4 linked regions of the Tamandua tetradactyla genome follow. The main gene of each other region encodes a partner of the protein of the gene in region 4 in a complex. Links are inferred from orthologs where the notes say so. Each region holds a gene or a part of one and is shown on either strand. Other genes may lie near its edges. The genes, in order: LSM7, PPIH, PRPF4 and SNRPD3.

Region 1 (7,924 bases), on a different chromosome or scaffold from region 4:
CCTGACACACAGTGGGCCCCTGTGTGGGGCTGTACCCTTCATGGAACAGGAGCACTGTGGTAGGTGGGCACACCCTTGGGTGCGGGATGGGACCAGTGAATGTGATGGGAATGCCACTCCTGTGATTAAGTGATGTGATAAAGATGACGATATTTTGCAGACATAATTAAGGTCCCCAAATCCATTGACTGTTTTTTTTTGTATGCTATACAAAAAAAAAGAAAAATAATTTCATTCTTTTTCCATGTGAGTATCCCATTACTGTAGCACCATTTGTTGAATTTTTGTGTTTGTTTTGCTTGTTTGTTTGTTTTTTTGGGGGAAGTGCATGGATCAGGAATCGAACCCAAGTCTCCTGCACGGCAGGGGAGAATTCTACCACTGAGCTACCCTTGCACCCTCCAAAATCAGTTGACTTTTGAGTTAATCCAAAGGCGGATTAATTGGGGTGGGCCTGAACTAATCAGGTGAGCCCATAAAGGGAATGGACACTTTTTTTTTGATTAGAGAAATTGTAGGTTTACAGAAAAATCATGTACAAGATTCAGGGCCCCCATATATCGCCCTACTATTAATCCCTTCCATTAGTGTAGCGTATTGTTACACTTCATGAAAGACACTTTTATCTTGAAAGAATACTTTTATAATTGTACTAGTAACTATACTTGTTCTACGAGATTCTCCTGTTGGCCCTGAAGGAGCAAACAGCCAGGTGGTGGAGGGGCCACGTGGACTGGGAGCTCAGGGCACTAGACAGAAAACAGGGATCTCAGTCCAACAAATTCAAGGAACTGAATTCTGCCAACAACCAGTGAGCCTGGAAAAGGACCCTGTACCTGAGATGGCCGTGGTCCCACAGCAACACCTTGGATTGCAACCTTGTGGGAGACTCTGAGACAGAGGCCCCTGGACTCCTGACCTCCAGAAATGAAGACATCATAAATTTGTTGCTTAAGGTGCTACACTTGTGGTAATTTGGTACATAGCATAGAAAACTAAGGCAAATGTTTTGAAAAGCAAGAGTTGTATCTCATCCGTATATCCCAGTTCCAGCATAGTATAAATTGAGCCAACATTTATTTGGATTCAAATTCTATTCAAATTCTGCCAGGCACCTACTCTTTCAAGCGCTGTGTTTTCAACATCTCAGATGCTACCCAATTGCCTATACCTTGGGGAAGAAGGGATCAGGAGATCTGTCCTGTGAAATAAAGAAACTGAGGCTCAAAGTTTGCTGAATAAATGAAATGTGGTCAAAAGCTATGTCCCACACTACGCTCTGTCCTGTAACTATTTATTGAAGAGTGCTTTGAAAACTATTGCTTTTTTCTTTGCTTTGTATATATATTATACAAGAAAAAAAAGCTATGTGCTAGGTACCCTGCTAAACATGCCTTATGCCCTTTGATTATCACCACAACCTGATAAGGATTTGACAAATGAGGAAACTGAGGCTAAGAGAGGATAGTAACTTGTGCAAAGTCCCACAGCCAGCGCGTGGAAGAGCTGGGATTCTAACCTGTGCCATCTAATTGATGGGTTAGAACCAGAACCCAGAGTTAGACAGCAGAGCCACTGCCCACACAAGTTAGCAGAACTCGACTTGGTCCCTATCCTCAGGGCACTTACCATGTAGAATTTTTTAGATTCCAGTCAAAGAGTCAGCTGCAAGATTAAGCATCATATTAAGGAGCATAAACTCGCAAACTGTGATAGGCAACTACCAGGAACCTATAACCAAGGGCCTTGCCTGAGGATGGAGGTGGGCAGAGAAGGCTTCCCAGAGACAACAACCTTGATCTGGGAGAAAGAGAATGACTCTGGGAGTTATTCTGGTACAAACATTCCAGATAAAGAAAAAACACGTGCTTCACAGGTTGCACCCCCCCCCCCCCTTGCACGCCCCACCCCACAGGCCATTTTTTATCTTAAACAAAGAGGAGTCACCAGGGCAGGCCACCATGGCTCAGCGGCAAGAATGCTTGCCTGCCATGCCAGAGGACCCGGGTTCGATTCCCAGTGCCTGCCCATGTGAAAAAAAAAAAAAAAAAGAAAAAAAAGAAAGAGGAGTCAGCAGGGAGCAACTTGAGATTCAGTTTCTGTTTTTAACAGGTCCCTCTGCCCTCTGAGAGGAGACTGAAGGTGGGGCCCCATTCTCAAGCTGGGGCGAATTTGCCCCCCAGGGGAATTTGGCAATGCAGCGCAGTGATAGCTAGACTAGGTATTTGGTAGAAGTAAGACTCTGAATTTGAACAAATGTTAACTCAATCTACACCATGCGCCAGGATATATGAATGAGACACATCTTTTGCTTTTCAACACGTTTGTATTAGTTTTCAATGCTACATTAATTACCAACGACTTAAGACGTTTTTGGATGGGGGGTGGTAGTGCATGGCACTGGCATCGAATGGGTAGAGGCCAGGGATGCAAGTCAAAATCCTGAAGTGCCCAGGACCTATCAGGTCCCCAGGGTCAACTGCGGTGAGGCTGAGGAAGGGGGGGCATGAACATAGCCGGCAAACCAGTGAGGTGCTGGGGCGGCCCCCCCACCCCGGGGCGCCCCCCTCCCCCTGGCAGGAGATGGAAAGACAAGACCGCAAAGGAAGCGAGCTCGTGAATCCCGATCCTGGCCGCGCCGCTGTGACTTTGCGTTAAGTTTGTGCCTCAGTCTCCCCGTCTGCAAAATGGGCACAACAGTACCTACCTCCCGGTGTTAGGATTGAACGAGTTAGTCCATCTAAAGCGCTTAAAGCCGTGTCTGCTCATTGAACGAGCTGCCTAAGTGCAAGTTATGATAATTGATGTTACTATTTATTTTAAATTGTTCAAGGAGGGTGCTGGGTGGCGGGGTCCTCACCTTCGCGGCCTCCCTGAAACTTCACGCGGATCGTCTTGTCGATGTATTTGGACAGATCCAAAATGCTCTCCTTCTTCTTCTTCTCTTTGTCCTGTGTGGAAAGCAGACCTCGTGAGGCGGAGAGCGTGTCTCGGCCTCGCGCCGCCCGCCCCGGCACACCTCCGCGCGCTCACCGCCATCTTGCCGCCCCGCACCGCTCTGCGCAGGCGCGGCCTTCTGGCGCATGCGCGCCCCTGCGCCCCAGCGCCCCGGCGCCCCGGGAGTTGCCGGGAAACGTCGGCCGACGGCTGCGGCGGGGACCGGCTGACATGGCGGCGGCGGCGGCGGCGGCGCTGGCGCTGGCGCGGCTCGGGACCGCCTTTCTCCTTCTCGCGGCCCAGGTGAGGGCCACGCCGGGCCCGACAGTCCCGAAGGCTGCGGCTCCCCCCGTTCCGCGTCCCTCGGGCCCCTAGCAGAAACCCACCCGGCCCGGGCTTGGGACCAGCCTCGGGGACCCGCGACCCCGCGCTGGCGGCCCTCGGGGTCTGGGGACCGGCCGTGACCTTGCGGGCTGTTCTCTGGCCTGTACTCCTTCCCCGTCGAGGAAATCCTTCCCAGTTACAGCGTCACTCCGTCCCAGCCGGGGTTGTAGTTTGCGGGACCCCGTCCCTCCCTTCTGTACGGTTCCGCTTGTCGGTCTCGGAGTCACCGTCCGCCCCTCCCCGGCTGCGTGGCCTGGGGCAGGTGGCTGCCCCTGTCCAAGCCTCAGTTTTCCCGTATGCAAAAACGGGCATGATGCTAGCACTCCTCCCAGGGATTGTGGTCAAGGCAGGGCAGGACCGTAGGCCTGGCAGCGTCGGGGAGCGAATCCCCGCTCCCTTTTACTCTCTGACCTTGGACAAGGGAGTTCCCTCTTGGGGGTCAGTTGCTTGTCTGTAAAAGGGGGGATGAGAGGAGAGTTTTGTGGGTTCATTCCTATGCTACAAGGAGTGACCAGCCTGCTGGGCTCAGTATGTTGTTATTTAGCGTTAAGGGGCTCTGGTTCTAAAGGATAGAGTGGACAAGGAGGTAGCTGATGTGTATTGTCATAAACTCATCTTTCCAAACTCTCCCTTCCTCCCAAGCGCTGCAGCCCAGGCAAAAGTGCCCCTAAGAGCTCTCCAGATGCGCTGGTGGGCAGTTAACCTTGACTCCTCTCTTGCAATTCTAACTTAAAAGGTCTTTCGAATCTCTCTGCTCCTCTCAGTCTGCTTCTCTCTGCTGTAGTTCCTGTCAGATCTCCCTTTGGCCACTGTTGACTTCCCCCAGCAATCCCCTACCAAGCCATTTGCAACACAGCAGGAGCAATCTTTTCCAAATGTGTGTCAGCTCTGGTCACTTCCAGATGAGAGCTTCCAGCGGCTTCCTGTCTCATTGAGAAAGGCCTTTCTTTGTGATCCGGCTGCTCTGGGAACTTCCCTCCCTTTTCAGCTCTCCCTAATGGGGAGGCATTTATGGAGGACAGCTTGAGCTCTAGTCGCTTTTATAGCCCTCAAATACCCCTCCTCCACTTCTGGCCCTGCAAGTCCTGCAGTCTCACAAGTGCAGAGATACCTCTTCCCCAGCTGCTTCAGGCCCTCCCCTTCTTCCCCCATTGTAGCCTGATCACACTCTGTTTTCTGGCCTTCCTCACCAGTTCGTGAGCAATTTGAATAGGGGAATTTGAGCTCTGAAGATCTTCCCAATGAGAGAAAAGCAGGAAATGGGCAATGCATTATGGGAATGCCATGGAGGGGATGACCCGGAAAGGCTTTTCAGAAGCAGTGACCCCCTAGGAGTGTTTTGAAGGATGCGTAGGAGTTTGCCAGGTTGGGAAGGGAGAGGCTGTTGTAGGCAGTGGGAACAGTGGGTGAGAAGGCTGATGACTTATTTTAGGGACTGGTGAGGGGGCTTGCTATGTTTGGTGCATAGGGTGGTATAGGTATGAGGGGAGCTCACCTACCCCCCCTGGAGGAGGTGTCGCTGTGAAGGAGGCACAGATGGACCTGGAATGGAGGAAGGGAATGGGGTCCCCCAGCAAAGCTGCAGGCAGAAGGCACAAGGCAGGGCTGGAGTTCAGGGCATGGGCCAGACAGGTTAGAACCAGATTCTGAGGGCTCTTGTTGCTGAGGTGTTCATGCTTTGCCCTGAGCATGGGGAGCCCAGGAATGCTCCTGAGGAGTGCCAGGGGGACGTGGCCCTACCCTCCCAATAGCCTAGTTGCAACAGGCATACCAGGGAGCCCATGCTGACTGCGGCTCTGGGGCTCTGCCCACTTGGCTTCTGAGTCAGGGCAGTGGAAGCGGGGGTGTTTGAGTCCTGACTCCCAAGACTGGCTGTCTTGGAGATTGCTTGATGATGATCCCACATTCACTTGCCACCATTTGGTAACCCTGGACAAGTGAGTCGGCCTCTCCAGATTATATCCCCCTTCTCAGTAACAACAAAGCCTGTGAGAGGAGATGCAGAGGCCTGCGGGGCTGGTTACTCAGGCCTGAGTTGATCAGAGATCCCCTCTGCAGCCCCCACAAGCTCCCTTTACCACCCCTCTGTAGCCCCCTCACCCCACATGGACCCTCCACAGCCCCTCCTGCCCCTACCTCCCCCCTCCAGTGTCCCCCTTCACCCTGCCACCATGACATCTTTTTCCAAAGTTCCTGCATCCTTGTTTTTCACCCTTTCCTGAAATATCTCTTAGAAGGAGTCCGCCCCATAGCCCTGATGCATCAGTTTTTTTTAAAACTCTCCTGAGGCTTATGTGTCCATGGAGCCGCTACAGAGCCCCTGAGTGTGTGTTAGCTGTGAGGTGTTGGAAGGCTGTCTGTCTCGGTTCTCCCAATTCAGAATGATTGTACGAGAACTCAGAATCTGCATCCTTTTGAAGAACCTTCCCTGGTTCTTTTAGCTCAGCAGGTGAGAAAAACTATTCAAGGCAAGAGCTTGCCTTCTCTGAGGTTTGATAAAATCACAGTTTTTTTTTTTTTGAAGGCAGTTCTTCAAATTTTGGGAAGGAGAACCTGTGAAAGCTGTTTTGTATTCTTAAGTCACCTTTTTCGAAGGAACAGTTTCTATCAATTTTCATTTTACACAATGAAAGCTTTTCCTCTAAAAGCCCGTATCCCACAAAATGGGCGTCAGCAGCTGTGTCTTGCGAAGCGCTCAGCAGTGGATACTTTGGGTGCCATACGTCTGCATGTGCCCTGTTACAGCCGCTGGACTCTGCTTTTGCATTCAGAAGCAGTGAGAGGGCGTGGCTGTGTGCCTGTAAAACTTTTATTTACAGAAGCAGGGGGCTCTGCATTTGGCCTGTGGGGTGTTGGTTTCTGACCTCTGCCGAGGAGCAGACTTGCTGACAGCAAGGCCCTGTCTGTGGCCGTGACCTACTTGAGTGGGCATCTGGCCAGCACAGACTCCGGGCCCCCTGCTGTAGAGGGGTGGCCTCTGGGGCGAGTCTGGGAGGAAGGGGCTCCTAGTTCTGCCTCAGGGTCAAGAGGTACCCAGTGGTTTGCCAGTGGGAGAGGCTGGGGGAGTGGGAAGCCACCTTAGTGCAGCACCCCTGTCCACAACTTCAGGCCCTCCCTTCCCTCCTGAGGCTGCAGGGATGGTGGCCCCCTGCCCAGCTTCTTCAGGGCAGGGCACCTTCAAAACTCAACTTCTCTGGGTGTGCCCCTGACCAGCACAGTGAGGATGGGCCTGATTCTCATTTGATGGCTGGCACCAGGGGTCCGGCTCCTGCCTGAGATGACAGAGAAGGCACTGCGCCTGAGCTGGTGTCTGGGGTCCCTGTAGCCCCTCGCTTGGGGCACATGGTCAGCAGGCTGCTGGGGAGGGGCCAGGCTTGGGCCTGGGGCTCATGTGTGTGGTCTTGTGGGGCTTTTCCTCTAAAAGCCCATATCCCACAAAACGGGGGTTGGCAGGCATGACAGGAGGAGCTCCCGATGTGATTTTACTGAGTCCCGGAGCCAGGGGCCCATGTGCATCAAGACCCCTGGTCTGATCCGAACCCCTCCCCAGGCCCGCTTTGCCATGTCCCTTGAAGGCCCAGCCCTCCTTAACCTCCAGGAGCCTCCTGTCTGTGTTCCTATCCCTTGTATGTACCTCAGGTGGGCAGTTGCTGGCTGTTTGTACCTGGGCAGGTGCTCAGGGGGACCCAGAGGACCTTCCTCATTGCTGGCCCTTTGGGGCCCAGCCAGGCTCTACCTGGGGATTCTTCAGGGCAGGCACTAGGAGACAGCCAGGGCTGGGGAGGGCCACCTTGGGGGATCCCCGCAGTGTCTAGCATAAGGCTTCTCTCCTGGGATCCCTCATCCTACTGGTAGACCCTGGGGAGCTGCCCAGACCGAGAAGCTCCCCATTGCAGGTGGGGCTAGGGGCTCTGTGGGCTGTTTGGCTGGAGCCGAGTGTGCGGAAGGGGAGTGGGGAGGAAGGTTGGAGGGGTCCCCAGGCACCTGCTGCTGTCAGGGGAGGCCGGGGGTGGGGAGGAAAGTTGGGGGTGGTCCCCAGGCACCCACTTCTGTCAGGGGAGGCCAGGGGTGGGGAGGAAGGTTGGAGGGGTCCCCAGGCACCCGCTGCTGTCAGGGGAGGCCGGGGGTGAGGAGGAAGGTTGGAGGGGTACCCAGGCACCCGCTGCTATTAGGGGAGGCCGGGGGTGGGGAGGAAGGTTGGAGGGGTCCATAGGCACCCGCTGCTGTCAGGGGAGGCTGGGGGTGGGGAGGAAGGTTGGAGGGGTCCACAGGCACCCGCTGCTGTCTGGGGAGGCCGGGGGTGGTGCAGTTCAGGCCGTGGAGCTACTGCAGTGACCAGTTCCCACTCCGGGAGAGCTGAGGCAGGGACAGCGTCCACGGCCTGCTGTTCCCTATGAGCCTGGAACGATGAGATACTGTGAAGTGCTCACCTGTCTGGAGTGGAAGTGCACCTGCCAACCTTGTCCCCGAGGCAGCCATCCCGGCACTGCCCCTTCTTGCCGCACTGGAGGCGTTTCCAGTGGCCGCTTAGCCGGGGAGCTGGTGTCACCACTAAAGTGAAGTGCTGCTGGGGTTGTTGCACGTGTCTGGCAGGCACCCCTAC
Region 2 (7,165 bases), on a different chromosome or scaffold from region 4:
CTATTTTAAAGTAGAAATGGTATATACAAGATAGGGCCAGAGCAGGTCCTGAAGGTACAAGTAAATTACATGAAGAAGTGGCCCAAATGCCCATGGTCTGCACTCCTGCCACATTACCTTCTCTAGAGAAAACTCGGGCCTGGTTTACAGATGGCTCAGCACGATATGCAGGTACCACCCGAAAGTGGACAGCTGCAGCACTACAACCCCTCTCTGGGGTGTCCTTGAAGGACAGTGGTGAGGGGAAATCCTCCCAGTGGGCAAAACTTTGAGCTATGCACCTGGTTATTCATTTTGCTTGGAAGGAAAACTGGCCAGAGGTGCATTTGTATACTGACTCATGGGTTGTTGCTAATGGTTTGGCTGGATGGTCAGGAACTTGGAAAGACCATAATTGGAAAATTGGTAACAAAGAGGCCTGGGGAGAAAGTATGTGGATAGAAGTTTCTGAGTGGGCAAAACATGAATATATTTGTGTCCCATGTGGATGTGCACCAGAGGGTTACTTCAGCAGAGGAAGGCTTTAATAATCAAGTGGATGAGATAACCCATTCTGTGGATACCAGTCAGCCTCTTTGCCCAGCCACTCCTGTCATTGCCCAATGGGCTCATGAACAAAGTGGTCATGGTGGTAGGGATGGAGGTTATGCATGGGCTCGGCAACATGGACTTCCACTCACCAAGGCTGACTAAGCTACAGCCACTGCTGAGCACCCAATCTGCCAGCAGCAGAGACCCACACTCAGCCCCTGATATGGCACCATTCCCCGAGGTGACCAGCCAGCTACATGGTGACAGGGTGATTACATTGGACCACTCCCTTCATGGAAGGGGCAGCGATTTGTTCTAACTGGAATAGACACATACTCTGGATATGGGTTTGCTTTCCCTGCACGCAATGCCTCTGCCAAAACTACCATCTGTGGACTTATAGAATGCCTTATTCATCGTCATGGTATTCCACATAGCATTGCTTCTGAGCAAGGAACACACTTCACAGCAAATGAAGTGCGGGAATGGGCACATGCTCATGGCATTCTCTGGACTTACCACGTCCCCCATCATCCAGAAGCAGCTGGATTGATAGAACAGTGGAATGGCCTTTTGAAAACTCAATTACAGTGCCAACTAGGTGGCAATACCTTGAAAGGCTGGGGTAATGTTCTCCAGGAAGCTGTATATACTCTGAATCAGTATCCGCGGTATGGTGCTGTTTCTCCCATAGCCAGGATCCATGGGTCCAGGAATCAACAAGGGGTGGAAATGGGAGTGGCACCACTCACTATTACCCCTAGTGATCCACTAGGAAAATTTTTGCTTCCTGTCCCTGCGACCCTGAGCTCTGCTGGTATACAGGTTTTAGTTTCAAAAGGGGGAGTGCTTCCACCAGGAGAAACAATAATGATTCCATTGAACTGTAATCTAAGACTGCCACCTGGTCACCTTGGGCTACTCATGCCCCTGGATCAGCAAGCCAAGAAGGGGACTGCATTACTGTCTGGGGTGATTGACCCTGACTATCAGGGGGAAATAGGACTGCAACTACACAATTGAGGTAAAGAAGAGTTTTCTTGGAATATGGGAGATCCCGTAGGGCGTCTTTTAGTACTACCATACCCTGTGATTAAAATCAATGGAAAACTGCAACAGCCCAATCCAGGCAGGTCTACCAATGGGTCTGAAACTTCAGGAATGAAGGTTTGGTTCATCCCACCAGGCGAAGAACCACGGCCAGATGAAGTACTTACTGAGGGTAAAGGGAACATGGAATGGATAGTGGAAGAAGGTAGTGATAAATATGAACTACGACCACGTGATCAGTTACAGAAACGAGTACTGTAATGCTGTTTTGTTCATGTTATACTATTTAAGTTGTAAGTTATCAAGTTTAAGAATGAATATTACCCAAGGACTTGCACCCTATTTTGGAGAGATTTAATGTGTTTCCAGTTATATGCAGGACAGTTAAGTATTGTCAGGTCAAAGAAAAAAATGTGCATTTTAATTTATTTAGAAATTAGGTATGGTTTAAGGTGATATATAGAGCTGCAAAGTTGACAAGGGGTGGACTGTCATGGTCAGGTTCATGTGTCAACTTGGCTAAGTGGTGGTACCTGTTTGTATGGTGGGGCAAGTACTGTCCTGTCTGTTGCGATGAGGACATCTCACAGAATTAAATCATGATCATGTCAGCTGCATCCACAACTGATTCCATTTGTAATCAGCCAAGGGAAATGTCTTCTGCAATGAGTGATGCTCAATCTAATCACTGGAAGCCTTTTAAGGATTCAGAAGAGATAGGCTCTCTTCCTGCTTCAGCTGGTGAGCCTCTCCTGTGGAGTTTGTCCAGACCCTCCACTGGAATCTTCGGCTTCACAGCCTGCCCTGCAGATTTTGGACTGTGTTCCTATAGTCACATGAGACACTTTTATAAATTTTATATTTGGAAGTGTTCCCTGTTGATTCTGTTTCTCTAGAGAACCCTAACCAATACAGCGGTTTAAAGCTATAATTACTCTACAAAAACTTGTTTTCAAATTTAATCCATTCCTGTGAGTGGGAACCTTCTGATGAGGTTATTTCAATTAAGCTGTGACCCAGCCCAATCAAGATGGGTCTTAAACCTATTACTGGGGTACTTTATAAGCAGAATTCAGGCACAGAGACAAAAAGCCACAGGGGGAGAAAGGAGAAGTTGCTTATCAATGGAACAGGAAGAGAAGGCAGAGAGCAGGAGGTGCCACTATGTGTCTTGCTGTGTGACAAGCTAATGACAGCCAGCCCCAGTATGCCACGGTCTTCAGGAAGAAAAAAAGCATCATCTTGATGACACCTTGATTTGGGCTTTTTCCCAGCTTCAAACCTTGAGCAAATAAATTCCCATTGTCTAAGCCAAACTATTGTATGATTTTGCTTGAGCAGCCCAGGAAACTAAAACAGACTCCAAGTCTTGACCCAGGTCACCTTCCTTCACCCAATTCATTGAATCTATTTATTGAATACTTATATGCTATTCAGTAGTAGGCACTGCAGTCTACAGCTGTGAACAGCCAGGCGAGTAGAGTCTGTGCTTCCATGGAGTTGATATCTTATCTGGAACGAATGTGTGTGTGGCAGGAGGTGAGATGTAGAGACAGACAATATAATTTCAGATACTGAATGGCATTAAGAACATACACTGATTGACCAATGGCTACTTTAGATTGGGTGTAAAATCTCTCCAAGGAAGTGATATCTCAGCTGAATCCTGAATTACAGGGAGCATACCCTGTCCCCACCGTTAAGATCTGGAATAGTATTTCAGGCAGGTAGCAGTACCAAAGCCCTAACACCCTAAGACAGTAACTATCTCAATAACTTTGGAACAGAAAGGAGCTTAGTAATTTGGCAAGTAGTACAAGAAAAGACCAGGTAGGTGGCAGCCAGATAATTTAGGCCTTTGTAGGAGGAATTGGATTCTATTCTAAATATGATGGGAAACCAGGAGTGGTTTTTAAGCAGAAGAGTTATTTTAAAAGCACTAGCTGCTGTGAGGGAAATGAACTGGACGGTACAAAAGTGTAAACTCGTGGCAGAATGAACTAAAATTTTAGTGTCCCGATCTCAAGGAAGGGCTGAATAAGTCCTATATGCCAAGCTGTTCTAAGCCTGAAGGATGAACAAACCAGAGCCTCTGCCTTCATGGGGCTCACAGACTAGTGGTCAGAAGGAAGAAGCAACCTGAGCGAAGGTTCAGAAGTCAGCTGCAAGAGTTGGTGAGGACCTTGGAGACTGTTCAATCCAAACCCCCTAGCCTAACGGAGACTAATTTGTACCGCACTTAGAGCCCTGTGAGTCGGGTGCCCGCGGACATTCAGAAAAAAACAAAACAAAACAAAAAAAACAGCAGCTTTTCTCCCCTGCCCTAACCCTCAGGACACCCAAGTTAGTTAACAGAATGCGAACCTGTTATCGGTACACGTCTGGGCGCGGGAGCCAGTGAGCTCACCAGGATAGGGGGCGGGCTCCAGGGGCGTGTCTCGGCCTCGGTCGCCTCTTCCGCGCCTGCGCCGCAGACGCCGACGGCAGGGCTGGGATTAGATTCGCCTGAACCCCGCGTTCCCGGCTTCTGCTTCCGGGTCGGAGCCATGGCGGTGGCAAATTCAAGCCCTGTCAACCCCGTGGTGTTTTTTGATGTCAGCATTGGCGGCCAGGTGAGACCCAGAGAGCCACCGAGCCCTGCGCCGAAGGAGAACTGCACGGGGCTAGGCAGACAGAACTGTTTAAGCCTGGGATAGCGGATTTGGGAAGCCAGAAAGTGAAATAGGACCAGAACCTACCACCCTGCCTGGTGGGAGGATGAAGGAAGAGGACTCGCGGATTCTAACCCCCTGATTGGGAAGGGGCTGGGATCAACGGAAGGTTGGGCTGTGTAGACAGAGGGGGAGCGATACCGAGCGGCACCGCGGGTGGGGAGGTGGGCCTGCTGTTCGTGCTCCTTGCTCCCAGAGGCCATCATGGTCTTAAACTGGGCCCTCTGACCATCTCCCGCTGGTTGCAGGAAGTTGGTCGCATGAAGATTGAGCTCTTTGCAGACGTTGTGCCTAAGACGGCTGAAAACTTTAGGTAAGGAGACGATCCAGCTCTACCGGATTACCCCCACCCGAAGATGGGCCCAAGTCAGTCTGCGGAAACGTCTGTGTGTCTCTGTCTCTGTCCATTCACTGCCCTTGAGACATATGATTCTTCTGGTTATCGTTTTGTCTGAATAGAACGATTTGATTGTTCCTGTGTCCGTTTACTTTGTTAATCTGCATACCTCGGTACCTGGACCTCTGGCCGGGTTTGCTGGCTCTAGGATAGCTGGCTCCAATATCTGCCTTTCCCTCCCGAGATTAGTGTTTTCGTGGATGTGTGATGATGTGATGACTGACTTGTTCACCCTTTCGTTTTCAGGCAGTTCTGCACGGGAGAATTCAGGTCAGTCTCAGTTGTGGTTGACTTTTCTTCCTGTTCCTGAGGGGTGTCCTAGAGCTGCAATGAGGGTCTTGGGGAATCGAATGATTGCCCAAGAGGCTATCTCAGGTCATTTGCCTTCCTTATCTCTCCTCGCCCCTCTTTAGGAGAGTCCTGTTGATTGGAGTGTGTGATAAACTGGAATGGCCTGTGATAGCCAGTCGTCATTCCAAATCTCTTTCTTTTTGGTTATAGAAAAGATGGGGTTCCAATAGGATACAAAGGGAGCACCTTCCACAGGTAAGTTTTTTGGCAAGCCATCTTGGGGCCCTTAAGAATTACTTCCTTGGGGCATTAGACTGTAAAGGCAGAGGAAAATACAATCAGAAACTAATTCTTGGATCTTGAGAAGAAATTTTTTTATTGACTTAGCAACTGATTTGAAGAATTATTAAAGATACCAACTCTACTTACACTCCTCCACTACTTCTTTTAAGCTATTTCAAAAAGAAGCAGCTACCCATAATTCTAATGTTCTGTTTTTTCATGTCCTTGTAGGTATGAATGCTGATTTTTAAAATACCACATTTAAGAACTAGTTCTTAAAAATGACCATGTATGATTACCTTAGGATAGTCAAATTCCTTGGGCCAGATGGAAGTGGAGTGTGGTAACACTCAGGTGTCTTTGTTTCATTTAGCATTTGCCTCAAAGTCCTCACTGTGGTTAGTAATGATATTAGCATATCGGACATTTAGAGCCATGGTCTTTGTGAGGCCAAAGCCTCACAACACAACTGTGAGGTGGTAGGTGTTATTATCTACATTCTACAGGTGAGGAAACTGAGGCTAAGAAAGGTTAAGGATCCTGTCAGGACAGTATCTAACATTTATTGAGCCCTTATGTGTATAATAGCTCATGGGTTAGCATTTCACATACATTCTCCGTTTTCTTTTTTCCCACAATTTACATCAAGCCCTTCACCTACCCTTTGCTTTGGTGATTATTTTGGTGGTTTTCCTGCAGGGCTTGAGCCCCTTCCTTTTGTTACTATTCAAGTACTGGATCATGCACTTCGGTCTACTCTAAGATGCTCTTATTTATAATTAAAACTCCTTTTTTTGTTAATAATCTTCTCAGCTCACTCTTTCCAGGAGAGAGTAATCATTTTGTGAGCGAGAATGATAAGTATTGTATTTTTTAAAAAAATTGTTAATCTGGTACTATAATGATAAAACCATGTTTCTAAACTTTAGAATCATCTCTCAGAATCCTTTATGCTCCCTCTGTTTCAGGGTCATAAAGGATTTCATGATACAGGGTGGAGATTTTGTTAATGTAAGTATTGTTCCTCTCCTATCAAAGACCTATGGGTTTGTTTTGTTGTCGCTGCTGCTTCTGTTTTGCTAGGGGACCAAGTCTTAAGTCTTGAAACAATAGCTAAGTTTGATGGGAGATAGTGATGGGGATAGTGATTCAGGATTGCCACTACTACTGCTAGATGATGGACATCAGCACTTCAATTGAATGACTTACATCCATGGTCCAAACCTCTGTCTTCTAGGTCCAGAAAGTGGACTCTCCCAACATACCTATTGATGATCAGCTCTAATCATCCCCTCAGACTTAGTTGACTTTTCTCCTGGTGGAGGTGATGGGGAGGGGAAGGGGCATCTAATTAAAGTCACATGAAGCTTATTTAGAACTCAGATGCCTTAAAATGGATAGAAGTAACTCCTTTTCCAATAAATTGAATGCTTATGTCCTTTTTTCCTTTCCATTCCTGGTATCACAGTGCCTGAAAACCTGAGTTTTTAATCAGAAGTTGATTAGTGGACAAGAGAGGTAGATAGATCTGAAAGGATGTTTCTTCTGCTCATTGGGAGAGCCCAGTGGAATATTCCTTCACTGATCAACACACCTTTCTTTTGACTAGTCAGTATGTGTCCTCTATATCAAGCTTCTCCCCCTCCCATCCCATTGGAGGGTACCAAATAAATCACCTTTTTTCTTTCTCAAACCTGTGTTTGTTCTTAACCACCCACTTATGTTCATGGCCTTGCTTTACTCATATTAATATTATTTGGTCATTGTACAGTCATATGGCTGTTTTCTTGGATCTCGGAGACTTTTTTTCTTCATGTATTTATTTAGAGTTTTTAAAGACCTCTTTCCTAGCCGATGTAGAGTTGGAAAAGGGTAAGTTTTAGGCTAAGTCGTGCTTCCAGGT
Region 3 (7,647 bases), on a different chromosome or scaffold from region 4:
GAAAGGATTTATGGAAAGTCCTATTGTCTGATGGTTATGATCCCTGCATACTACATAGAAAACCAACAAGAGTGTTGTGGGATCTATATAAAAGGAACCACTGCCAGTGTGGACTAAAAGGGACAAATTGAAGGAAAAATAACTTCAATGGCAGAATCATGGAAGCTAAGATCTGCAGCCAGGAAAGCAGACCCACTTGGAGAGTGTGAGTTTGCCCCAAAGGCAGAGGGTGAGTCTTCCTCAATGTTCAAGAAGAGTTTTGGTGCCTCAGGCCTCAGAAAGGGTGGAGCACATTCTTCGGGGATTAGGAAGAATTTTGCTGCCTCCCTATTGTTCTTAGGGGGTTGCACATGTGCCTTGGAGATGGCAAAGAGCCCAAGGTGCTGCCCCAATGTTTGGAGAGAGTGGAGCTGAGAAAATAGCAGGGCTGCTGTATAGCCCTTGGAAAGGGTGGGACTGCTACTTTCTAAAGCCCCAACAATAAATGATTCTTAGATTTTGAAATCTACTGGAGTTTGCCCTGCAGGTTTATAGAATTGTTTGGGTCCAGTGAGCCCAGTGTTCTTTTCAACTTTTTCCTATAGAAATGGCAATATTTATCCTACAACTGTCCTTCCTTTGTATACTGGCAGCAGATAACTTGTTCTGAGTTTTACAGGTCCAGAGCCAGAGGAGAAATTTGCCTTAGAATAGATCCTGCCTGTAACTGACTTTTATGAGATTTTGTACTACTTCTGACTTTGTATTATATTTGTCTTGTTTCTAAAATGGTTTAAGACTTTGTGATATTATAATTAATGAATGTATTTTGTACATGGAAAGATATGTGTTTTGGGGATCCAGAGAGTAGAATGTGCCAGTTTGAAACTGTGATTTACCCCAAAAAAGCCATGTTCTCTAATCCTGATTCAGCATTGTTTATGGTGGTACCTTTTGATTAGGTGGTTTCTATGGAGATGTGTCTCCACCAATTCAAGGTGGGGTTGTTTACTGGAGTCCTTTAATAGGGAACCATTTGGAAAAAGTATCAGAGCTGACACAGACAACAGACCTTTGGAGATGCAGAAAGAAAACACCCCCAGGGAAGCTGTTTAAGAGGAGAAGCAGGTAAAGAAAGATAGTAGACGTCACCATGTGCCTTCCCAGCTGACAGAAACACCGAATGTTTCGGCCCCTTCTGGAGTCATGTTATTTTTCTCAGGATGCCTTAGTTTGGACGCTGTTATGGCCATAGAACTGTAAACTTGCAACTTAATAAATTCCCTTTTTAAAAGCCATTTCATTCCTGATATATTGCACTCTGGCAGCTTTAGCAAACCAATAAAGGGAGGCGGGGGAGATTTCACACACAGAAGAGGAAGAGGAAATGTGACCATGGAAGCAGAGATTGAAGTGATGTAGCCACTAGTCAAGGAATGCCAGAGCAACAAAAGCTAGAATTAGAACGCAACAGCTTCTTCCCTATATCCTCTGAAGTATGGCCCTGCCAACAGTCTGTTTTTGGCCCAGTGATATTAATCTCAGATTTCTGGCCACCAAACTGTGAGAAAACAAATTTCTGTTGTTTAAACCACCAAGTTTGTGGTAATTGTTATGGCAGTCCTAGGGAACTAATATATCAAGTTTGAAATGCCTAGAAAGCATCCACAGAGAGATTTCAAATAAGCTACTGGTATTAAGTCTGAGGTTCTGAAGTTAGTTATCTTTTTAAATATTCCTAAGGAGTCGAAGGTTGTACTCTTACCTCTAAGTCCTTTCGAATGCTCTCAAATTCTTCAATGTCATCAAGTTTCAGCTCTAGGCGGGTTGGTTTTCGTCGCAGCATACTGAAATCAACACTAAGGGCCAAACCAGTGAATTATTAGCTGTTAAAAATAATAGACAAGAGGAAATCTGGAGAGGATAAGTCTCAGCCACACACATAGGTCAATTTGTAAGCACAAACCCTAAAGTGAATGTGGTGAAAAAGACTCATTTGGATTCACACAGACCTCTCAGTTTTTAAATGTATGGCTTACATTTTTATTACATGATGAAAACCACAACTCTGTAATTTCTAAAAACTCTTCAAGAACTTAAAATAGCAGGCCTATAAGAGAGAATTCTAGGCAATGATTACTTTAATCTCAGACTCCAATCACATTCAAAGAAATATACGAATGAAGTTGAAATGTCACATCTTAATTCAATATAGTTACAGGGAAAGTGGAACAGCCATTAAATTTAATCCACTCTACATGAGAATTATTGGGAGATTTGTGATCAGTCCTGAATGCTAAAATCAGTTTGCTAAATCTCATGAAAAGTTCCTCTAACTCACCAATTGACAGGGTTATCCTCAGGGTCTAAATGGGTAAGTCATTCATTCAGCAAACACATAGTTTGTGAGGAAAACCAATGAGAAATAATCATATCATAATGGGAATCATAATGGGAAATAATCATATCATAAAATAAGGACTCTGATGAGAGTAATGAAATGGCATCACAGAGGCAACTGATCCAGGCTGGGCTGAGCGTAGAGTAGACAGGGATGTTCGGGAAGGCTTACTGGAGGAGACAATGTCTTAACTGATTTCTAAAGTGCAGACAGAGAAAGGGGATTAAGGACAGTCCAGGCAGAGAGAACAAGTATGCAAAGAGTTTCAAGAGAGCATCTATAGTCTGAGAACCCAAGTAATGCTGTGTTAACAAAGTAACAAACATTTTTTGAGAAGGATACCAAACTTCCCCAACTGAGTTTAACTTCTGATGATCTTTCTACTATCCACAGTATCCAGCAGAGAGTATCTAATGGATGCACTCAATAACACAGTCAGTAAAAGTCTGTTGAATAAAATCAGAGATCCAAATAAAGAGAGAAAGGAAATGAACTTCTCTTACACACCATGCTAAGTTTTCCCACGATCATTCTTTACATTCTTATTTTAATCTCCACTGAAACTCCATGAAGCTGGAAAAATTATCCCTATTTTGAATATAAGAAGTCAAAGCAAGCTGTTCAACTTAGCTAACAACGTCAGCCTCCTATAATAACCATATGTACATCACAGCGTGAGGACTAAATGAGAATGATGTAAGCGAAAGGCATTTTAAAGTACAAATATAAATCATTATTACATGTATCTCGGATGTAACTAGGGACTTATGACATACACGAAGGATGAAATGTTCACTCCTCCCACCAAGAGTGGGGCAGATACAGGTAAAAGTTACGGTCAGTACAAAACGCTGGTTCATTACATTTCAAGTTTCTTTCTACTAAATAAGATACTATTTTCTACCAGATTCCAATGTAAGCAAGTGGCAGAAGAAGCCAAACTTCCAAAGACAACATAAAGGCGTGAATACTTAAAATAGAAAAAACTGCTATGTAGTTTGACTTTTCGCCAAACTGAAAAGATCGCCACTAGGGGGCAGTAGAGAGTAATATTGTACGTAGGTAAAAGCGCTGACTGGAGGCGAAAAAGACAGAGGTTCTAAATCCCACTGGTCTCTGCCTCATCTCCTACTAGGCTTTAGTTTCCTCATCTGTATCTGTACTCTGTTGTAAGAATTGAATGACTTAATGCAGATTAAGCTCCTGGCACATAATTTGGCATTTATTAAATGCTCAATAAATAAGCTGTTGTTATTATTGTAATATTTTTCTTAGTGGGGAGGCGAGCGCCTCAGTCCGACTCGAGCAACACCGATATTTTGAGAATGCTCGTCATACCCCAACTGGGAGCAAAAACTTTGTGTTATTCATCTCTGATACTCCAGCTGGGCACAGGGCCGTGCTTAGAGTTTCTTGTGTACAGATTACCTGACGCCTTCATAACCATCATCTCACTCTTAATCTGATACAAAGACCGTTTGAAAATCAACAATATCAGGCCGTGTTTCCACGGCCGGGTCCATATTTTATTGTGGGACTGGAGGGTTCCTCGAGCTCAATCTCCCGCTGCTGCCCAAATCCGCTACAAATTTACCCAGTCCGGAGGGAGCCCCTGAGAGAGCTTCTGGATCGACGAGAACAGCCCTCCTTCCCCAAAGCCAGGGGTCCGGAGCTAAGGTTTCCATGACAACGTGGTCCTCCCCTCCAGGACCAGTAAAGTCTCCCCTACGCCCGGGAGGCACTGCGGGCCCTGGAAGCCCTCGTTTCGCTCCAGAGTTCAGCCCGGAGCTGCGCCACTCGACGCACCTACCTCTTTGCAAGTTGGATCAGCTCGTGACAGTTCCGGGAACCTCTGCGCCCACCGGAATCGACCGCCAAGCCAAGAGGACTACACTTCCCAGAGTCCTCTGAGCCTCTCTCCCGCAGATCCTCGACTCCCGCGTTTTTTTCTCGGAGGTTCTACGGGTCACGCCCCTCAACGTGACCTGAATCTGTCCTACTACGACTCCCATCATGCCGCGCGCCGATCCGGGGCGCAGCGTCGGTCGTGCGCTCAGTTCCTGCCCGGGACGCAGTTCCGCTTTGCTATGCGCGCGGTGGACTGGCTGAAACGCCGATCTTGGTTTTCGCTGGAACTTCGCGGCTTCCGAATCCAGCATGGCTTCCTCTCGAGCCTCCTCCACGGTACAGAACTTGGGATCTCAGCTCCCCGGGAGGAAGCGTGAGAGGGGTGTGGTCTCTGCGGGATGGACCGTTAGGGAACGGGCCACGGTGGTAGAGGGTTGAGGAAGGCAGGCTGCGGGAGCATCGCAGAGTTTGACTGGTCCCTAAGCACGTACTCTTTATGCCTTAGCTCTTTTGCACCTCTCTCTGTACATCCCCGAACGGTAAACACTTCTTCCAACACTGGTCCAAAAACAGAGACCTGAAACAGGAAGATTTACGTCTGTGTAGACCTGTTACTTGAAATGAGGCTTTCTGACTCCAAATCTATTGCCTCATGTCCGAAAACGTTTGAGGTATAAACACCAGGAACATTGTAACTTTGTGTCCCTTATGCCATGGTTGGGATTTCAGTATTCTTGCCATTTCCCCGTGATGAGCAATAATCAAGGACGGATTCTAAAACCTAAGAAGAGATTGCACTTGCAGCCGAAAGAACAGGTTCCACTGCAAACTGCTAATAGAAAAATCTCCAAGAGGAATTCACTAACTTTATCCACCTCTTCCTGTCTGCAAAACTTCAGTGTTTGAGGGACCGAAATATGCCCCCAAATTGGGGAGGAATATCTTAATTGGTGTCCAACTTGTCCCTTTATTTGGAGAGGAAATAAGACTGACGTTCAGAATAAGATCCTGGGAATCCTAATAGGTTGCTAATATTAAGCCTTAAATTAATCCAGTTCTTTGATTTAGCAGGCAACCAAAACATCAAAGGCATCTGATGACTTAGTTGCCCCTGTTGTAAAGAAACCTCACATCTATTATGGAAGTTTGGAAGAGAAGGAGAGAGAGCGTCTGGCCAAAGGAGAGTCTGGAATTTTGGGAAAAGAAGGACTTAAAGCAGGAATAGAAGCAGGAAATATTAACATAACCTCTGGTAAGATGCAAACTGTGAGTTCATCTTTATCTTTGATGCTCACCTTTTCTGAAATAGCTTAGACCTACAAATTTTACCTTCTAGACCTAGATCACTAGTTTTACAGTATCAAAAAATTTCAGCTCTTAAACTTGCATGTCTAGGGCCATACTTTGCCTGCCCCTTTTACCATCATCCAGGGGGCATTTTTCTTACAGCCTTTCATGCCATTTTTCTTCCATGAATTATTAGTAGTTCTATCATGAATTTATTCATTGTGTATTTGGATTCAAATTGATTCCCTTTGCTTTCTGGAGATTTAGCATAGTTCAGGTATCAATTTAGAGCAACTGTGGCTCATATGTTCCCCCTTTTTAAATTTTCATCCAAAATGAAATATCTTCTTTTTTTTAAATATTTTTATTGAGAAATCTTCATACACATACAGTCCATACATGGTATACAATCTCAGTGGCTCGCAATATCATCACAGATTTGTGTATTCATGAAATATCTTAATTATAAAAGTTATTTTTTTCTTTTAAAAAAATTAGTATAGGGTGGGCCACGGTGGCCCAGCAGGCAAGAATGCTTGCCTGCCATGCCAGAGGACCCGGGTTCGATTCCCAGTGCCTGCCCATGTTAAAAAAAAAAAAATTAGTGTAGAAAATTTTATAATCTTTATTAATTGGTTTCTGAGAATTTTAGTAGTTATAAAAACATATTTATTTTTCATAATGAAACCATGATATGCAAAATGTTTTGTAACCTGTGCTTTTCAGTCTACATGTCTATCCATGTAGGTAAGTAGAAATCCACTATATTTTTAATATAAAACTATACATTAGTCATAAGAAATTCAAACAGTACAGAAGGTGTTCTAGTTTGCTAGCTGCGAGAATGCAGTATACCAGAAACAGTATGGCTTTTTAAAAGGAAAATTTAATAAGTTGCTAGTTTATAGTTCTAAGGTCGAGAAAATGTCCCAATTAAAGCAAGTCCCTAGAAATGTCCAGTCAAAGGCATCCAGGGAAAGATACCTTGATTCAAGAAGGCCGATGAAGTTCAGGGTTTCTCTCTCATGTGAAAAGGCGCATGGCGAACACGGTCAGGGTTCCTCTCTCAGCTGGGAGGGCACCTGGCAAACACGGCAGCATCTGCTAGTCGCCTCTCCAACTCCCCAGAGGTGTTTTCCTTCATCTCCAAAAGTCACTGGCTGGAGGGCTCTCTGCTTTGTGGTTCTGTGGCATTCTCTGTTGTGGCTTCCTCGTGACTCGGGCGTTGTTCTGTGCTCGCTCTGAATCTCCCCTTTTCTCCAAAATGTTTCCTCTTTTATAGGATTCTAATAAACTAATCAAGACCCACATGGAATGGTGGTGACACATCTCCACCTAATCTAGTTTAACAACCACTCTTGATCGAGTCACAACTCCATGGGAAAAATCTAATTTAAGTTTCAAACATACAGTACTGAATAGGGATTAGAAGAAACGACTGCCTTTACAGAATGGGATTAGGATTAAACATTGACTGTTCTAGGGTACATGTGAAAGAACTTCGTTGATCCTCCCAGACATGTTTTTTTACACACATGCCCTTTAGTGTAGCAACTTTAACCTTTACTACTGTTTTTAAACTTAACTGCCTCATCATTGTACCTCTCATTTTTGTATCCAAATGCTCATATTTGGTGTGGTTTTTAAAACTAGTTGCTCAGTTATCCAAAAAGCCTTAAAGTCACAAAAATATCGTTTTCACTTGACTAGTAACATTTGTAAGTGTGTTTATACTGGTGCTGTTTTAGATAATAGCTTTGGTGATTGTTAATAGCATTTCTATTTTTGTCTTCTGGATAGAAAGCCTAGTTAATTAACTCACTTGCTAGAAGTGTCTATACTCTCACTTTCTGATCTCATCCAAGGTAAGTGTTTATGTTAGGTATGAGATTGAGGTTGCCAGATGAAATAAGGGGTGGCTTGAACCATTTTCCTGCCTTTTAAAACCGTCTCATTATGTTTATGTGCTGGGCATAATTTAATAAATTGAAAAGGAATAAACTATGTCTATAAAGTACAAAATAGATTCGATTATTACCTTCCCCTAGGGGCATATAGGGACTCCAGTTATTAGAAATCATTTCTTTCCCTCTCTTTGAAAAAAGATCTGGCCATTATGCTGATGTTACGCG
Region 4 (7,239 bases):
CCGGGCCCCCCCACCCCCCGGCCCAGGGCAAGGCGCTGGCCGCACACTCACTGCAGCACCATCCTGGAGCAGGCCAGGCCGCAGTCCCAGTGGTAGAGCTGCTGGATGACGGGCACGGGCAGCTGCACAAAGTCCCCTGCACGGACACACAGGGAGTCACTGCTGCCCCGGCCACCCTGGCCTCAGCTGCCCCAGCAGCTTCCCCATCATCAGTCCTGTGTAACCCTGCAGAGGCAGCGTGGGGCCCAGTCCTCAGCCCCCATGCTGTCTCCCTGTAACAGCCAGTGACCTCCCCAAAACGCCAGGCCCCCAACGGGGGGGGGGGTTCCCTCTCTTCTTGGGAGAGTGCTGTTGTGGCTGCTGCCTTAATACCACGACTCCTTGCCTACCCTCGCTCCCACCAAGCCAACCCTCTCACTCCTGGTTGCCCAAGAGCCTGAGCTAAGACAGGACACTTACCCTGTGGGGCCCAGCTCCCCATTATATGCACGCACAGCCCCCCAAACCTCTCCCTCTGAGCCCCCTGGAACGAGCCCTGAGCAGGCTGTGTGGCCTCTGATCTGTATCCCAGGGCCGGCACGTAGGGTTACCCAGCAGACATGTAAGTCTGGATTCATAAGGCCCCTGGTACTGCCTGAAACCAAAGCCCCAGGACCACCCGAGTGCCACCTGCCACAAAGCAGGCGGGTGGGATGCCCTGCAGCTGTCCCTGGATGCCCTCTGATCCACCTTCACCACAGCAGTGAGGGGAGCAGAAGGGACCTGAGCTGGGCACCATGGGTGCGGCTCAGCCACCGGCGGCCAGTGCAGTGGGCAGCTGACTTCCTTGTGCTGAACTGGGGTGGGACTTGGATGTGATTCAGTCATTCAGTTGACAGATGTTTCCCGAGAGCCCACTGGGTGCCTGGCACGTGGACCGGAGAGCGGAAATGAGCTCGGTGGCCATGTCAAGGGTAATGGGAAGAACGGGTGCTAGGCTGGGGGAGACGGTGAGGGGTACCTAGGAGGGGGTGAGTCTGGGGGAAGCCCGGAGCAGTGCCATGTGTGCCCTGAGACCCGGAGGCTGAGCAGAGGGTGGTCTGTGGACAGAGAACCAGCTGTGCGCTGGGCTCGGTGAGCTGGCTGCGGCTCACTAGGACCATGGGTTCCTCCTCCTTTGGACTAAGGTCAGAGTCTAAAGAACCAAAAGGAACTCACCATTGCCAGCTCCCAGCCACATTACTCATTAATGACACCCGCCTGGCAAATGAAAACCCAGCCTGCTCTGAAGGTCTTGGGGGGGTGCTCCTGGGCTGTGCAACCCAGTCCCATGCCACATCATGGGGGGTCCTAGTGCCCCACTCCCCTACACACTCAGGAGGGGTCACTGGCTAGTCCTGGAGCCTGTCCTGGGCTTTCCAGCCTCTGCCTTTGCCTATGCAGCCCATCGACTGGCGGGCCCCCAAGCTCCTGTGCTCCTGCGTCTAACCGCTCCCCAGCCTTCGAGGCCTGGCTTAGAAGCCACCTCCTCCTGGGTGGGTGGGGGGTCCTAACCTCACCTGGCCATGCCCTCAACCTCCTCAGCACCCTGCCACACCCAGGACGGGAACTGTGCTTTCTGCCCTCCACCCCTCAGCTCACAGGGGCCGCAGCAAGACTACCGGGGGCAGGCCTGGGCAAGCAAAGGCCTGACCTCAGCACCAGGCCTCTGGATGGGGCATTCCATCCCTAGAGTCTAATGCTTAGCAACAACTCAACACCTTCGAAGGTGTCTGAATTATCCCCCCAAAGGGTTTGCCTGAGTGGAGGGTGCAGGTGCTGTGCCACCATGGCGTGGGGTGGGGGGTGCTTCTCTTTTCACGAACACCTTGCTGTCACCATGAACTGCCTTTTGGTTTTTCTCTACCCAGGCGGTTGACCTGCCCCCACCCCCTGGCCTTCCCCCTTGTAGATCCTCAGCCTGGAATGTCCTTTCCCATCTCTGAATGTCCAAATGCTCGAATCCCTCTCTGGGCCCCTCGGCGGAAACGCTGGATGCAGAGCATTGGCAGGAGCACCAAAGGGGGGTGGCTTTGCTCCCTCCAGGCCTCGGCCCAGGGTGGGCGCTCAGGCAAGCCTGGTGAGTGGAGGGTGATTTCCGGTGAGGACTTCACCTCAAGATGCCCGGGTCTGCCTGTCACCACGGCACCACACCCCCCTGCACCCCTCTCCCCCCGCCAGTTTCCAGACCACATCCCTCTGCTCGCAGCTGTCTTCTTACTCTGGGGTCACTGGATGACCTTTGGCCAGGCCTTCAACCCGGTCACTCTGTCCCCTGTGCCCACCTGCCAAGTGTGGCACCCCACAGCTCCTCTCGAGGGCCCTTGGAGACTCAGCTGCCCCCCGTCCTCTTGTCCTGAGCTCTAGAACCCCTTGATCCTGAGACCCCACAGGACCAAACACCCCCACAGGGCTGCCCCCAGCCTTAGCACGGGCAGGCCAGCCCATTGGGACCCAGAGAGGCTCCTGCGGGGGATGATAAGGGTAGGCAGGCCATGGCCTTCATGCCGATAACGGCTTCAGCCGCCCAAGCCCCACGCTGCCGCCGCATGTCGAGGCCTGGAGCCCAGGGAGGGCCACAGGAGGCCACCCGAGAGCCAGGGCCGGCCTGGCAAGGGAGGAGGGGAACTTGCCGAACTTCACACCCTCTGTCTACTCATCTGCAGAAGTGGAAATAGTAACAGTAACCTGCTTCCTTGGGTTGTTATGAGGGCTAATGCATACAAACAACTTAGCATGGTACCTGCCTCATAGAAGCCCCTACAAATATCAGTCATGACTCCACTGAGGGTGAGAACAGGCAACTGTCTTGCCTAAGACTGCAGAGTTAGATAACTAGAGGAGACAATGTGAATCCCAGTGGGCAAAAGACCCCCTGCTCCATGGTGCCACCAGAGGGGACTGCCACCGCTACCCCCCTCCACCACTGACACCTTAGGGTCAGGGTCCCCCTTGCTCATGACCTCTCCTATGATCCTTGGAGTTTGCAAACACTTTCCTTTCCCCCTCCCCCACTTCTCCAACCAGGCCCAGGGCACCAACTGCCAGTCTTGGGGCAGAAGGAAGAAACTAGAGGTTGAAAAATTCTAGCAAGACAAGGTGATGACCCAGGGGTCTGGGAGCCCAGGTGAAGGGGCCTCCTCTAGCTCGGCCCTCTCTGGCCACTTCCCTGCCCGACTCTGGGCCTCAGCTTGCCTCCAAGTTCCCCAGGGGACAGGGTCTTCCAAGGCGGCTCCCACTGGGCTTTCCACCTCTGATCATATCCCGGGAATCCCCACGGGCCGCTCCAGAGCTGACTGGGGTCCCAGCCCCGTGGAGATCAGGGCTCCCCGATGGGCTCGGGGCTCGGGGATGGGGGGCGAGGCGAGAGTGTCCAGCTAGACAGGTCTCACTCGAAGCTCTATGCTCGACCCCAGGCGGCGGTCGGCCCAAGGTCGCCCGGCCGGACCCTGCCTGCCCCGCCTCGGGGCGGGGTCCCCCTTCGGTCCCCCGGGAGAAGTCCGAGCCCTCGGGCGGAGGCACTGACCCGGCTCGAGCGGCGGTCCCGCTGCCTCCGCCTCCGTCCTCATGACCCGGGCGCGGGACGCCCATGGCCCCAGCCCGGCGCGGGCGGCGGCTTCGGCTTCGGCTGGGGCGTGAGCGCAGCCCACGACGGCCCGGTTCCGCCGCCGCCACCTCCGCCACGGCGGAGGGGAGAGGAGGAGGCGGCGGCCCGGCCGCCCCCGGCCCCGCCCCGGCCTTTCCAGGCCTCCTCCCGGGAGGCCCCGCCTCGCGCCGGGGCTCCGCCCTGGCCTGTGCCCCTGGAGGCCCCGCCCTTCCCACACCGAGGTTTCCGATAGGTCTTCGGCCCGTTGAGCTACGGCCGACTCGACCATTCGTAGGCTCGGCTGCTGGTTGGCCCTGCCCCACTCCTCACACCGACGCCTCCGTTTCCCGGAAGACCCGCCCCCGAAGCCCAGGCCATCGGCCCGCGCGGCAAGTCCCGCCCAGCCGGGTCTCGGTCCTTAGCCGGCCTCAGGTGGGCGCCGCAGGGGTTCCAAGAGACCTAGCTCTGCCCAGACCCCCCAGACGGACCGCAGTCTACTGTATACCTCGGTTTCCCTTTCTGTACAATGGAATACCTCGCGCCACTTACCTGGAGGCGCCAGGTTCCAACGACTAAATTGTGAAGGGAGGTCCCGGCCCTCCGCTCCACTGCCTGCCGTCCCCGATCTGAGGGCCGAGGTCCCGGATGCCCGCCTTGCAATCCATCGCGTCCCTGATGCGGGGTGCCTGGAAGCGCGAGCTGCCCTCTCCTCTGGCCCGCCCGAGGGTCGGGGTTTCCGGCGGCACCCGGGCCCTGTCATCAGCCCCTCTCTTCTGGGGCCGGAACTATAGTGCCACAGCCTGCGTTTCCCAGCCGGCGGAGTGAGGAGGAAGCCGAGGCGGGACCGCGCCCCCCACTGGAGAAAGGGAGGGGCGGGCCCTTCGCGCGGCATTTTGGGAACGCGGGGAATTCTGGGAGCGCGGGGCCCGCCATTCGCTCTCTTCACGCCTTCGTCGACACTCGAGTTGCCGCGTTACAGAAGAGGAGGAAACGGAGGCCGGAGCCGGTGAGGGAAGGCTGGAAATGGGTGAGGGGAGGCGGAGGCTCCCTGGGAGGGTTGGGGGCTGGAGAAGGCCACGCTGCCGAGAAGCGCCGAGGGTTGAGGGGAGGGGAGAGAGCGGGAAACCCGGGCCACGCAGCGTCAGCTTCGCGTTCACTTCTCCCCAGCTTTCTGGCTTATTTTGTTTGTTTCTATCCGAGTCAATCGTTTTCGAAGCCTCCAGGCCATAATCTCGACATCCTCTCTAATTGAATGTTTTCCCCTCCCCCCAACCCCCAGTCTCGTGTACGTAGTCATTTTCGGAAGGTAGGCACCGAATCCTTCTCCTCGTGCTTTCCACACTGTCGCCGGACCTTTAACAAGTCTCTCTGCTTCTGAGCTATATGTTTAATTCATCCTGTAAATGCTGCTTCCTTTTCATGGGGTCATTCCTTCCCCCGTCCTGCAGCAATTGGTTCCCTGCTGTCTGCAGCACAAAATTCGAACTCCTAAGGCTGAAACTCAGAGGTCCTCACCCAGGGAGCCCATCTTTCCCAACCTGAGGGCCCCTTTTCTCTCCACGTACATCCTTCCCCTTGCTTTCTTTTGGATGCACATGATGTGTTCCAACCTTCATTTTTGCTCACCTCAGAGTAAAAAGTCCGGTGTTTTTGCTTTTTTTAATTAGGTCAAGCCAGGCCCTTGCCCTGATTTTTCTGTCCTCTAAGATGAGCATTGTTTGTTTAAAGCAGGTTGTCATTTTGTGAGCACTTTAATGTTTTCTCTTTAGTCCCCGTGGTGAAGTGAATGGGGCACCAGTAGATACTCAGTGGATTGAGTTAAAAATGCAGCCTCCTCTCCAGGATTTGTCTGTGGATCCTTTGGTCCAAATCCACACTGTGCAGTTCGAAGCCACTGGCTGTTAAGCACGTGGAATGCGGCCAGTGTGGATGAGGAATATACTTTATTTCATTTCAGTTAATTTTAAATTTAAATCGTGACGGGCTGACAGTGCCAATTGTGTCTGACAGCTCATAGTTCTCAAAGTGAAGCATCACCCACAACCGTGTGTTGGCAGATGCATTGTGCAGCATATGCAGTTGCCCCACTCCCATATTGATGAATGATTATTTTGGTGAAGATAAAGGGACGTACCCTAGATGCCCCATACTGAAAAGTAGATGGAAAGTACTTTTGCGTTCCCCTAGTCTTATCTCTTTTCAGCCCCCCATTTCTCCCATCACCCAGCTTGCATGTGCTTCCTGGATAGACTCCTCCAAGCTGTGCTCTAAGCTCCTTTTTTCAGTAGTAGAAGAAAAACAGCTTTGGCATCTCTGCCAATCGTTTTGGAGTGCCAGGTCTTGAGGGAGGCATGGTCTGTCTGCAGTGCCTTCTCAAGCTCTGAAAGTTGAACTAACTGTTCTCTTTCTTGCTCTTAGAACTCTCTTCTCTCCAAGATGTCAATTGGTGTGCCAATTAAAGTCCTGCATGAGGCTGAGGGCCACATCGTGACATGCGAGACGAACACCGGGGAGGTGTATCGTGGGAAGCTCATTGAGGCAGAGGACAACATGAACTGCCAGGTATCTTGCTTGGCGCTTGAGGTTGTGGGGGAGCCTGGGCCTATGTGTTGGAGGACAGAAGAGTGATGATTGTGGGTTCTTTTAAATTTATTTTCATTCAGCAGTTATTTACTTAGTACTTAACGTGTGTCATTTTGTTGGAGGTGCCAGGGATGTGGGCATGAACAGGACAATCATGGTCTGGAGCAGAAGAGCTCTTTGGAAACTTTTTGTCCTCTATTCTCTCCTTCTCATAATTATTTTCTCCCATATCTTGGGGGCATGTTTGACAGAAGTGCCACTACTCCCCTCAAGAGACCATTTACCCTCCACATGTTCCCCTAACTACAGCTACTCACCTACTATGTGTATTTGCCTTTTTTTTCCCTGGGTTAAGAGGTTCTATTTGATTCTTCCAATTACCTTGTAAGGTAGGTAGATTTGGTGATAGTTTTGTCATCCATAAAATAGGGAGCGTGAGATTAAAGAACTCGTCTGCTGAACTTCACCCTGTTAATAAATTGCAGAACAGCCTCCTGGTGCCCTTCCATGTCCCTGTGTCCCTGGTATGCATTTTGTTATTTTTCATGTGGTTTTATATGGCGTTACTTTACAAAGTGTCTAGCACAGTTTCTTTGTTCTTTAAACAGCCAAGTAAGAGCTTGGGTTTTTAAATCAGTGAGAGATGTGTCTTTGAATCCTGATTGTATGACCTGGGGCATTTCAGTTTCCTCATCTGTAAAATGGAGATGATTTCACTTCAGGTACTCTGAGATGCACACATCAAGACAGAATTGGACATGCAAGAGATTTGTTTTGGGAAAATATCAATAGAGGATTAAAGGCAGGGAGGTGTAGACAGGTCTGATACCAGGGAAAGGAGGGGGGAAGGAGGGAGGGTTGAACAGAACAAGTATGGACCGCAGTGCAGCTCTAAGTAAGGCTGGTCCAACAGAGTTTTTTTGTTGGAGGAGTCTAGCATGGTTCAGTATCCACCCGAGGTCATCGTTCCTTGGCTGGAAGCAGCCTGAGGCACCTGGCTTCAGTGAATGCTGTGGTTATTTTGATGAAGATTCCAAAGGTGTGGCAGCTGG

The links.
Region 1: SNRPD3 (region 4) and LSM7 share a complex: the UniProt entries of both Homo sapiens proteins name them as parts of the U4/U6-U5 tri-snRNP complex. The link is inferred for Tamandua tetradactyla from reciprocal best matches to the Homo sapiens genes SNRPD3 and LSM7.
Region 2: SNRPD3 (region 4) and PPIH share a complex: the UniProt entries of both Homo sapiens proteins name them as parts of the U4/U6-U5 tri-snRNP complex. The link is inferred for Tamandua tetradactyla from reciprocal best matches to the Homo sapiens genes SNRPD3 and PPIH.
Region 3: SNRPD3 (region 4) and PRPF4 share a complex: the UniProt entries of both Homo sapiens proteins name them as parts of the U4/U6-U5 tri-snRNP complex. The link is inferred for Tamandua tetradactyla from reciprocal best matches to the Homo sapiens genes SNRPD3 and PRPF4.

The regions. Positions count from the first base shown.
Region 1 is NC_135337.1:80,542,338-80,550,261, reverse strand, and holds the start of LSM7 (U6 snRNA-associated Sm-like protein LSm7), read right to left. Parts: upstream 3,064-7,924; 5' UTR 3,040-3,063; coding exon 3,034-3,039; intron 2,952-3,033; coding exon 2,861-2,951; intron 1-2,860. Other genes in the region: SPPL2B (signal peptide peptidase-like 2B), read left to right, coding at 3,169-3,240. UniProt on the Homo sapiens protein: Plays a role in pre-mRNA splicing as component of the U4/U6-U5 tri-snRNP complex that is involved in spliceosome assembly, and as component of the precatalytic spliceosome (spliceosome B complex).
Region 2 is NC_135328.1:182,093,887-182,101,051, reverse strand, and holds the start of PPIH (peptidyl-prolyl cis-trans isomerase H), read left to right. Parts: upstream 1-4,051; 5' UTR 4,052-4,127; coding exon 4,128-4,193; intron 4,194-4,540; coding exon 4,541-4,605; intron 4,606-4,935; coding exon 4,936-4,959; intron 4,960-5,190; coding exon 5,191-5,235; intron 5,236-6,230; coding exon 6,231-6,273; intron 6,274-7,165. UniProt on the Homo sapiens protein: PPIase that catalyzes the cis-trans isomerization of proline imidic peptide bonds in oligopeptides and may therefore assist protein folding. Participates in pre-mRNA splicing.
Region 3 is NC_135328.1:33,883,435-33,891,081, reverse strand, and holds the start of PRPF4 (U4/U6 small nuclear ribonucleoprotein Prp4), read left to right. Parts: upstream 1-4,398; 5' UTR 4,399-4,537; coding exon 4,538-4,564; intron 4,565-5,296; coding exon 5,297-5,480; intron 5,481-7,647. Other genes in the region: anaphase-promoting complex subunit CDC26, read right to left, coding at 1,745-1,825. UniProt on the Homo sapiens protein: Plays a role in pre-mRNA splicing as component of the U4/U6-U5 tri-snRNP complex that is involved in spliceosome assembly, and as component of the precatalytic spliceosome (spliceosome B complex).
Region 4 is NC_135331.1:25,394,451-25,401,689, forward strand, and holds the start of SNRPD3 (small nuclear ribonucleoprotein Sm D3), read left to right. Parts: upstream 1-3,987; 5' UTR 3,988-4,610; intron 4,611-6,022; 5' UTR 6,023-6,040; coding exon 6,041-6,166; intron 6,167-7,239. Other genes in the region: protein GUCD1, read right to left, coding at 52-136, 3,545-3,587. UniProt on the Homo sapiens protein: Plays a role in pre-mRNA splicing as a core component of the spliceosomal U1, U2, U4 and U5 small nuclear ribonucleoproteins (snRNPs), the building blocks of the spliceosome.